2 linked regions of the Sus scrofa genome follow. The protein of the gene in region 1 interacts with the protein of each later gene in a pairwise test. Links are inferred from orthologs where the notes say so. Each region holds a gene or a part of one and is shown in the gene's direction. Other genes may lie near its edges.

Region 1 (4,794 bases):
TCCTATTTATTGTGTTATTCGTACTTAGCATATAATTTCTTCTTCTTCTTCTTTTTTTTTTTTTTTTTGTCTTTTTAGGGTCGCACTCTTGCATAAGGAGGTTCCTAGGCTAGGGATTGAATCAGAGCTGTAGCTGCTGGCCTACCCCACAGCCACAGCAATGCCAGATCCGAGCCACATCTGTGACCTACACCACAGCTCACGGCAACACCGGATCCTTAACCCACTGAGCGAGGCCAGGGATCGAATCTTCGTCCTCATGGATACTAGTCAGATTCATTTCTGCTGAGCCATGACAGGAACTCCATTAGCATATAATCTCTGTCTTGCAGTTTGTGTGACTGCTTTGGCTCCCATTTTGGCTCCTATCATCGTGCCTGCATTTCAGCCTAAAGGCCGGGACAGGAGACACTATTCCTCTTGCTGTTTAAGGCTAGTCCTGAAAGTTGCAGCCATCACCTCTGTTTCCATTTGCCAGAACTTAAGTCACAGTGGTCACATATAGCTGCAGAAGAATTTAGGAAGTGTAGTCTTTGCTAGGGGTGATATGCATCTGTAAAATTCTGTTACAAAAGACGAGAAGAAGAATTGGCAGATTACTAGCAGTCCCTACTGCAGTGATCAAACCTTACTTTTTGTCCAGTATTTATGATTAAACATTCTGTAAAAACAATTGCCCTGGAATAATGATCAGAACACTCTCTGCTTGCTTTTCTCCACTCTGAATTGGAAGGAAATTCTACAGAAGACCATGTTTTTTTTAGCAGAATGTGTTACACTCTTTTTCAGAGGTGAACTAAGGAGCCTTGGGAAGACAGCCATTCCTATTTCCTCTTTATGCTTTTACTATTAAGTGAAGGAAATTCTTCTGGAACAATTCTTTAGAATTAATTTAGTACGCTATTTAGTGTGATTTATTACTATTTTTTTGGCCATTCCCCCTGGCATGTGGAAGTTCTCTGGCCAGGGATCGAACCCATGCCACAGCTGCAGCTTGAGCTACAGCACTGACAGTGCTGGGTCCTTAACCCTCTGAGCCACCAGGGAATTCCTAGTGTGATTTGACAAGTAATTTGATTTAGGTTAGGGATCAAGATCCTTAACCTAGTATGAGTGCATCTCCAGTGCATTACAGAGAAAAGAAGGAAAAAATAAAAGAAGGTTAAATAAAGAGAAATGTAGTCAGGATGGTTTTGATGAAAACAGGAGAGTATGTATTTCTGTGGTTTACTCACTCTTGATGTGTACATACAGAGATGGTAATAGGCATTTATAAGTGATTAAGAATTGTGAAGGTTGGGAGTTCCCATTGTGGCCCAGTGGGTTGAGAATCTGACTAGTACCCATGAGGATTCAGGTTTGATCCCTGGCCTTGCTCAGTGAGTTAAAGGATCTGGTGTTGCCATGAGCTGTGGTGGAGGTCGCAGATGTGACTCGGATCAGGCATTGCTGTGGCTGTGGTATAGGCTGGCAGCTGCAGCTCTCTTTCGACCCCTAGCCTAAGAACCTCCATATGCCACAGGTGCGGCCCTAAAAAAACAAAGAACAGACAAAAGAGTTGTGAAGGTTACTATCAGAGCATTATAGGCCTGGCATCCATCCCAGGCTTCGACGGTTCCTTGACATTTTTGTATTTAATAAATGGCAGCTCTGATTAGCAAGGAATTGTAACCCCTTCAGGATTATAATTGAAATAGGACTTTATCATAAAATAGATATACCGGGGGTGGTGTTTCTTCTCTATTCTTCCAGAAAAACTGTTAAAAATTTTCATTGATTCTAAGAAGTCATATAGGCCAATTTTCATAGACCATCAAAATATGAGGGGAAAAACAGCTGGTAGCAAATATAAGGCCCTTCCAGTAGAGATACTTTTTTTTTTTTTTTGGCATGCAGAAGTTCTTGGGCCAGGTATTGAACTTATACTATAGCAGTGGCAACACTAGATCCTTAAATGCTAGGCTGCCAGGGAACTCCACGATAAGTTTCGATTTTAGAAATGTTTAAATGTAAAAACAGCATCTCAGAATTGATGAAATGTAATAAATATTGGTGCATTTTTAATTGATAGCTTCTTAGAATGGAGGACTGTAGTAAAAGGAATTAAAGTAATTGTTACCTATTTGTAAGAGTGCTTTAGAGTGATCTCACTTTTTCATTATAAAAATGTAGGTTTTGGCCTCTTCGTGCCATGTATATTGAACTAGTAACTAGGCAGTTTGGTACTGAAACATCTGCTGAGACCAGGGATCACACTAATCTTTGTCCAGTTCCTTGTGGTGCTCATCTATTATGGGGTGTGTGTGTGGGGGGGCGGGTGTAGTGTTCTGCTGCTTGTTGGTTATATACCCTGAGTAACCATAGCTCTAAGATTGGCTAAAAGGACCATTCTTTGAAGTAGTGGCTTTTATATTGCATTTTGGTATGCATATATACAGGTGTGTGGGCATGTTGAAGGAAAAGTTGCACAAAATAACACTTGATACTCTGCGCGAGATTCATTCTAAAACAGCCTCTTCTCTTCCGTTATAAAAGGAAATATGCTTAGAGTTCCCATTGTGATGCAGAGAAAACAAACCTAACTAATATCCATGAGGACGCAGGTTCGAACCCTGGCCTCACTCAGTGGGTCAAGGACCTGGTGTTGGTGTGAGCTGTGATGTAAGTTGCACACATGGCTTGAATCTAGCATTGGTGTGGCTGTGGTAGAGGCTGGCAGCTGTAGCTCTGATTTGACCCCTAGCCTGGGAACTTACATATGCTGTGGATATGGCCCTAAAAAGAAATATGCTTCTCTTGACACTACCCTTTTTTTGGCCTTTTTAGGGCCGCACTGACAGCATATGGAAGTTCCCTGGATAGGAGTCGAATTGGAGCTGCAGCTGCCAGCCTACACCACAGCAACACAGGATCCGAACCTTGCCTTTGACATGCATCACAGCTCATGACAATGCTGGAACTTTAACCCACTGAGGGAGGCCAGGGATAGTTCTTATGGATACTAGTCAGGTTCATTAATGCTGAGCCACAGTGGAAACTCTTTTTTACAATACGTTTGACTTCAAACAAACAAAAAAACACTTCTCAAGGATCAGAAACGTAGAAAATTGACTCTTATTTGCAAGTCACTAATTTCTCTTAGGTTCTTTTAGCTTCAAAGTAGTTGGTGTGTTAGGTTTTTGTTTTTTTCGTTGTTGTCTTTTGACTTTTTAGGTCTGCACCCGCGGCACATGGAGGTTCCCAGGCTAGGGCTCTAATCGGAGCTGTTGCCTCTGGCCTACACCAGAGCCACAGCAATGTCAGATGTGAGCTGCGCGTCTGCAACCTACACCATAGCTCACGGCAACGCCGGATCCTTGACCCACTGAGCGAGGCCAGGGATTGAACCTGCAATGTAATGGTTCCTGGTTCCGATTCGTTTCTGCTGCACCATGACGAGAGCTCCATTGTGCTAGTTCTGTTCTTGCTCTAAGTGAACCTGTTGCTAGTTGAAGAAAGTAAAATATTTGTAAGTACAAATAATTAAGATGAATATCTTGAATCTTTTTGTAGGTCATCATCAAATTTGAAATATTTAAAGTGGATACAAAACTGTTTCAGCAATGCAGACGATTAAGTGTGTTGTTGTGGGCGATGGTGCCGTTGGTAAAACATGTCTCCTGATATCCTACACGACAAACAAATTTCCATCTGAGTATGTACCGACTGTAAGTATAAAGCTTCCTTCTGTTAGTGAAATGTATTATAATTTGATATCCTTTTGAGAACTTTCTCTTTGTGTACTGAAATTTTTCTGTTGTCTGCCTTTGTTTCCTGTTTTTAAAGATCTTGACTTCTCATGGGTAAATTATATACACTTTAAAATTAAACAGCTGAAAAATCAGTGGAAAGTCAGAAGGGGTGACACAAGGGTTTGCAAGAAGTGCTGGGAGGCAAAACTCCAGTAGACAAGATTCTAAAGAGTGGTGGTCTCAGTTTGGAGAAGTATGCCCAACATCTTGGAATGAGGTGACTTTTTTTTTGATATCTTGGCCAATGATTTATCAGTGCTTAGAGGTTTTCTGGGATGATTTCGGGGGTCTTGTAACTTCAGGAAAAGTAGTGTGTCTCTACTTATTCTCCCGGGGGAATAGAAGAAAAGCTGATGGAGCTGTTTTCCTCGCAGTAATGGAGCTCCAGACTGGTTTTCAGAGGCAGAGAATACATTCTGTTTTTATGAGACCATCAACAGAAGCCTTTGGGGGTTCTCTCCTACGAATGCTCTTTAATCTTACCTGCTCCTTGGAAGAGTAGAGGGAAAATGGAATAACAAAGATATTGAAGTGAGAGAGAGACAGAGTTATTTAGAGTAACATTCATTTGTGAAAGAATGTGTTTAGGGATCCATTGTTTGTCCCAGGTTGGTTGACCAATCCAGTGGTATAATTATGTTAAACATAGATGTCCATTCTGTAATGAGAGGGGAGCTATGAGTTGGCCTGGTGTGGTAACAGCTACCTCTGTTAAGTGATCTATTTTAGGGGTTTTGAAGCACCTATGTATGATTAATATGGGACTAGTATTGTTTGGAAGTAAAAAGAAAGAAAATGTATGAGTACTTTAGGTCAGTGTTCAGAGATGAGAGCATTTTGAAGAAGGTGACAGGTTAAAGACTTGGTAATTATGTTTAATTGTAATTGACAGTCTATAATCTTCCAGGGCTGATAAAGTGATTGAGGTAGGCCCAGATTATTGGAAGAAAAATCAGGTTTATTGAAGGGGGAAAATTTGAAGGTAAAATTAAATATGAAATCA
Region 2 (5,399 bases), on another chromosome or scaffold:
TGCCAAAATGCCACGAGAGAGGGTGTGGAAGGCCCTCGGGCTGACAGCCTCTGGGTTTGCTTCACACTTGCTGCATGTGGAGAAAGGAGGGCACAGATCAAACAAGACGGGCCACAAGCTGGTACCTGCAGAAGTGGGTGGCAGGTCCACTGGGCTTCTTAACCCCATTCTTACTACCTCGCGTGGGGGCTGCCCCCTTGTTCTGGTGCCCCTGTGGGCGCCCATCACATTGTACCAGACACGGTCTGTGTCGCCAGCAGGAGAGGCAGCAGTGGCGGCACGTCTGACACGACGCTGTGAGGGACACTAAGGCTGTGTCTTGAGCTTACTCTTGTTCTGAGGCCTCACTCGGGAGGGAGGCCGAAGGAAGCAGGGAACTGAATCCTCCTCCCCAAAGGGAGGACCCGAGCCTCCTGCCCACAGCGCAGGCATGAGCTTGAATTCCTGCAGATGTCCAAAGACCAAGTCCCTGGTTCCCAGCTTGACCACAGCCTCATACAAAACCCAAAGCCACAACTACCCTGCAGAGGGGCTCCCTGATCCTTGGACACTATGCAAAATAATAAAATTGGTCGTTTCAAGTGGCTAAATTTCATGGCCTGCTTTTACACAGCAACAGACGATGTATGTAAGAGCCTGGTATTTTTTTAAAAAGCACTTGGGGGAGTTCCCGGTGTGGGACCCAGCGAAAACAAATCCGACTAGGAACCATGAGGTTTTGGGTTCGATCCCTGGTCTCACTCAGGGGGATCCGGAGTTGCCCTGACCTGTGGTGTAGGTTGCAGACTAGGCTTGGATCCCGTGTTGCTGTGGCTGTGGTGTAGGCCAGCAGCTGTAGCTCTGATGTGACCCGCAGCCTGGGAACCTCCATATGCCACGGCTGCGGCCCTAAAAAAAGCGAGAGAAAAAAAAAAAAAAAAGAATAAATAGGAGTTCCCCTCGTGGCACAGTGGTTAACGAATCCGACTAGGAACCATGAGGTTGCGAGTTCGGTCCCTGCCCTCGCTCAGCGGGTTAAGGATCCGGCGTTGCCGTGAGCTGTGGTGTAGGTTGCAGACACGGCTGGGATCCTGCGTTGCTGTGGCTCTGGCATAGGCCGGTGGCTACAGCTCCAATTCAACCCCTAGCCTGGGAACCTCCATATGCCGCGGGAGCGGCCCAAAGAAATAGCAAAAAGACAAAAAAAAGACAAAAAAAAAAAAAAAAAAGAATAAATAAAGTAAAAGGCACTTGGGTTACTGGAAAGCAGTTTGGCAGCGAGGCAGGACGCCCGGCTCTGGCGTTGCAGCTTCCAGTAACAGGACGCCTGCGAAGCACATCCCAGGAACCAACCAGCTTGGAATGCTCTGCCTTTGGCCAGCTCAACTTTCTACACAGAAAGCTGACAGTATTCCCCAAACTGGCGCAAGTTGAGACATTTCCAAAAATACTAAGATCAGTATTTCGCAGTTCTATCGCTTCTACCGCCTAACAAGCCGATGCGCCATCCAGGTGAGCGTACGTGACCGCGCCGTGGAGCGGAGGGCTTGGACCCCACGCGGAGAGACGAGCGCTGGGGGCCCTCGGCAGCGCGGGCTCCATCCCGCCGGCCACAAATCACGCGCGCCCCCAGCCCCGGCGCTCCGGGTGGAGACCCCGGGGGACGGTGGCGGCTGAGCCAGGGGCTTCCGGAGTCACGAGCGGCACAGAGCCGCTCCCGATGCTGAGTTTCTCTTCGTGAAGGAGCGCTCCCGGCAGGGCGGCCAAACGCTGACGGGTCTGGAAAGGAAGGAAAGGCAGGGACGGCGCGCTGGTTTCGGGGACGGGGGCTGCCCGACTAGCGCGTCCCCGCGGTGTGACGGCTGCGTGCCCGAGAGACACGCCTGCGCCTCGCGTGCCACGCCCACCGTCCGCGAGCCACTGCCTCGCCCCTTTAGCTTGCGGGTTGACCCGCGGGGACGCCCCGGACCAGGAAACGCAGGTGCCAAAGGGCGCAGAACCCCAACCCTACCGGCCTCCACAGGGCTCCCCGCTCGCTGCCCACGCGGGACGCGCCCACAAGCCGGGATCTCAAGATGGCCGCGGCGCGCTCCCAGCAGCCCCCGCGCACGCATGCGCTCTCCGGAGCCCGCCCGGCGCGAGCGGAAGTCGCGTGATCCCGGAAGTGGCCGGCCGGGCGCGCGCGGGTGGGGCGGCGACGTTCGTCATTCCGTGCGGGAGGGAGCGCGAGAGCGGCGCGGTCGAGGCTCCGGTGAGCGCGGGCGGCGGGGCCGGCTGGTGCGGTGGGCTAGCGGGCGGGGCAGCCGCGGAGGGGGAGGCGGGGGGCCGCGCCTTTGTTCCCGCCGCCCGCCCCGCCCGCCCCGCCCTCCTGCCTGCCCACCCGAAGGGTCTGCGCTGGGCGGGGGCGGCGGTGACAGCGGGCGGCGGCCGGGGCGCCGGGGCAGCCCACGTGCGAATCGGGGACGCCGGAGGAGGGAGGCGGCGGCGAGGGAGCTGGAAGGCGAGAGGTGGGGGCGTAGGGGCCGGGGGCGGGAGCTGGGGATGCACAGAGGTGCAGGCCTCTTTTGTGGTCGCAGCTCGTGCTCAGCGGCTCCCTCCTCGCCGGTGCACGCCAGCCTGCTCCGGCCGGACGCCCACTCGCCTGAGCCGTGTGGCCCCCGCGCCCCACCCCGCGCGCCTGCCGCGCCCTGTCCAGATTGCGGGCCCTGCAGGAAGTGCGCGCCGCGCGATCGCACTTAGAGGATCCTGTCGCCTGCGGCCGCGCTTGAGTGGCGTTAGGGCGTGAGCTTTCTAGAGGAATTCCAGAGGAAGCGACTAGGAGGTCTGGAAATACGGGCCGGGCCCCACCCTGCCTTCGGCGGCCGGGTGGTTCCGGGTCCCCCGCGGCCCTTTGTGAGATCTTGTCCGCGCGCACATCCCGGCTTTGGCTGTCTTTACGGACAACGGCGGCCCTGACCCACCTCCCACACCACCGAGTCGGGTCCGAGCGGGTTTCAGATACTGCTCGGGGATTCCGGGGGGGGTATGCGATGGTCATTCTTAGTGAAAGAAGACCAGTGGCTGCCCTATGCACTGCTCCTCTCTTTGATGGCACTGCTGCGAGCTCTTCTGGGCGAGGATCCCGAAGGGGGCTCCTGAAATTCCCACACGTCTAGAGCAGTTTCCAAATTCTAGGTCTCTGAACCCTCACAGCTGGAGATAAGGTTGGCAGACATTTAGGGTCCCTCGTCCATTTCAGGATTTATCTGTGCGACTCAGGCTAGCCCTGTCATCTGAGCCTTAGGAGAGCCTTGTGTTTGTAGGGTGAGAAAGAACTAACTTGTAGCCTGCACAGACATTTAGGACAGGCCTGAAGGAACAGACCGATCAGCAATAGTCAGTAGGAGGGATCTCTTGAGGTGAGCCCCTGGGCGATTCAGGACAAGCAGCAGGACTTGGTCCTGACCCTGCTAGGTAGGTCTGGGGTGCTGCTGCTTCCTGGAAGCAGGGGAGCTGTCCCTGGTCTTTGCAAGGGGCAGGCTGGGGCCTCTCTAGCCCTGGATACTGTGGACCTGGAATTGGGTCCCCTGAGGTGGGCAGGATGAGGAGGTGAAGGTGGCCCTTCTGGGCCTCGGGAGACTGTTTCCGGGCCCTTTTCGACGTTCTGGCTGTCATGGCCTTCCTGTTACAGAGGATGCGCCTGCTCTTGGGCCCACATGGAGGCTTGGCCACCTGTGGAGGAAGATCCAACACTGATCACCAGTGGGACCTGCAGAAGGGCTAGAAGGGGCGACGCTGGGTTCCTCCAGGCTGCCACAGCCCATGCCACCCTGCCCACAGGTGTCCCAGACCCCGCTAGAAGAGAGCATGGCTGAGCAGGAGCCCACCGCCGAGCAGCTGGCACAGATTGCAGCTGAGAACGAGGAGGACGAGCACTCGGTCAACTACAAGCCCCCGGCCCAGAAGAGCATCCAGGAGATCCAGGAGCTGGACAAGGACGACGAGAGTTTGCGCAAGTACAAGGAGGCCCTGTTGGGCCGCGTGGCCGTGTCTGCTGGTGAGTGGACAGGAGCGCGGGTACCCGTGGCTTTCCTGGGTGTCTGCCGCTATTTACCCCCCCCCCCCCCCCCCCGCAGAATTCTAACTTGCGATCACTTTGCAGACCCCAACGTCCCCAATGTCGTGGTGACCCGCCTGACCCTGGTGTGTAGCACTGCCCCAGGGCCTCTAGAGCTGGACCTGACAGGTGAGTGGCCTCTCCGAGGTTCCTGGCTGGGGCCGCAGCGGTCGGCTGCTTCCGCTAAAAATAGTTTCTCGGGCTGCTGGCGCCCTCTGCTGGGGAGCACAAGAAGTGCAGCCGAGTCCTCTTACAGGGGTTGTGGCTTTTCCAGTCTTGCGTCTGGGGTGCCCAGGATGGTGGGAGGTGACTTCCTTTGGGTGAACTTCCTAGCATGGTCTTTCTCTCAAATTCAGGAGATCTGGAGAGTTTCAAGAAGCAATCCTTTGTGCTGAAGGAGGGTGTGGAATACCGGATAAAGATCTCTTTCCGGGTAAGGCGCCGGCGTCGGGGAGGTGCGGGGCCTGGGTGGGAAAGCCTCGCTGAGCCCTGCTCGGGGTGCCTCCCTGCAGGTGAACCGAGAGATCGTGTCGGGCATGAAGTACATCCAGCACACGTACAGGAAGGGGGTCAAGAGTGAGTGAGCGGGGCCCCCAGCCCCCAGGAGGGAGGGAGACCCGGGGGGTGGGGAGCAGAGCTGCCTCCTGACGGCTGTGTTCCCTGCATCGCAGTCGACAAGACCGATTACATGGTGGGGAGCTACGGGCCCCGGGCGGAGGAGTATGAGTTCCTGACGCCCATGGAGGAGGCGCCCAAGGGCATGCTGGCTCGAGGCAGCTACAGCATCAAGTCGCGCTTCACAGACGACGACAGGACCGACCACCTGTCCTGGGAGTGGAACCTCACCATCAAGAAGGAGTGGAAGGACTGAGCTGCGGCCGGAGGGAGGCGGGCAGGGCGGCCGAGGTCGAGGACGTGCCCCCCCACCCCCCCCATCCCCCGGACCCCAGACCAAAGTGCCGCCAGGGCCACCCACACTGCCGCCTCTCCCCGTCTGCCTCCTGGCCGCCCGCCCCTCCACCCTTCCAGCCCGCAGACCCAGCCGCCTCGGTGGTCTAGTGTCGTTGCTGCTTCCGCCTGTGCTGGGGGGGGTGGGCTCCTCCCAGGCCTTGTCTCCCCTTCGGTGTCCTCGAAGTCCCCACCTTCCTGACCCGACCCGAGGCCCTGGCTTCCCCCAGGAGAGTCGGGCATCGCGTGGGAGCTCTGGGTGCCCGGGTCCCTGGGCCTCCAGTCGCCCTGGCTCCCACCGTGGCCCCCTTCCCGGCGGGGGCGGGCTGTACCGCGTAGGGCCTGGCGGGGCCGGTTGTCCTCCCGCTTTCACTTC

The links.
Region 2: the proteins of CDC42 (region 1) and ARHGDIA interact in binary tests that used the Homo sapiens proteins (3 or more experiments, as listed by UniProt). The link is inferred for Sus scrofa from reciprocal best matches to the Homo sapiens genes CDC42 and ARHGDIA.

The regions. Positions count from the first base shown.
Region 1 is NC_010448.4:80,065,389-80,070,182, forward strand, and holds part of CDC42 (cell division control protein 42 homolog), read left to right. Parts: intron 1-3,552; 5' UTR 3,553-3,602; coding exon 3,603-3,707; intron 3,708-4,794. UniProt on the Homo sapiens protein: Plasma membrane-associated small GTPase which cycles between an active GTP-bound and an inactive GDP-bound state. In active state binds to a variety of effector proteins to regulate cellular responses. Involved in epithelial cell polarization processes.
Region 2 is NC_010454.4:1,111,212-1,116,610, forward strand, and holds the start of ARHGDIA (rho GDP-dissociation inhibitor 1), read left to right. Parts: upstream 1-2,183; 5' UTR 2,184-2,230; intron 2,231-2,462; exon of another isoform or gene 2,463-2,486; intron 2,487-2,560; exon of another isoform or gene 2,561-2,800; intron 2,801-3,649; exon of another isoform or gene 3,650-3,780; coding exon of another isoform or gene 3,781-3,825; coding exon 3,826-4,015; intron 4,016-4,120; coding exon 4,121-4,204; intron 4,205-4,431; coding exon 4,432-4,508; intron 4,509-4,587; coding exon 4,588-4,651; intron 4,652-4,746; coding exon 4,747-4,946; 3' UTR 4,947-5,399. UniProt on the Homo sapiens protein: Controls Rho proteins homeostasis. Regulates the GDP/GTP exchange reaction of the Rho proteins by inhibiting the dissociation of GDP from them, and the subsequent binding of GTP to them.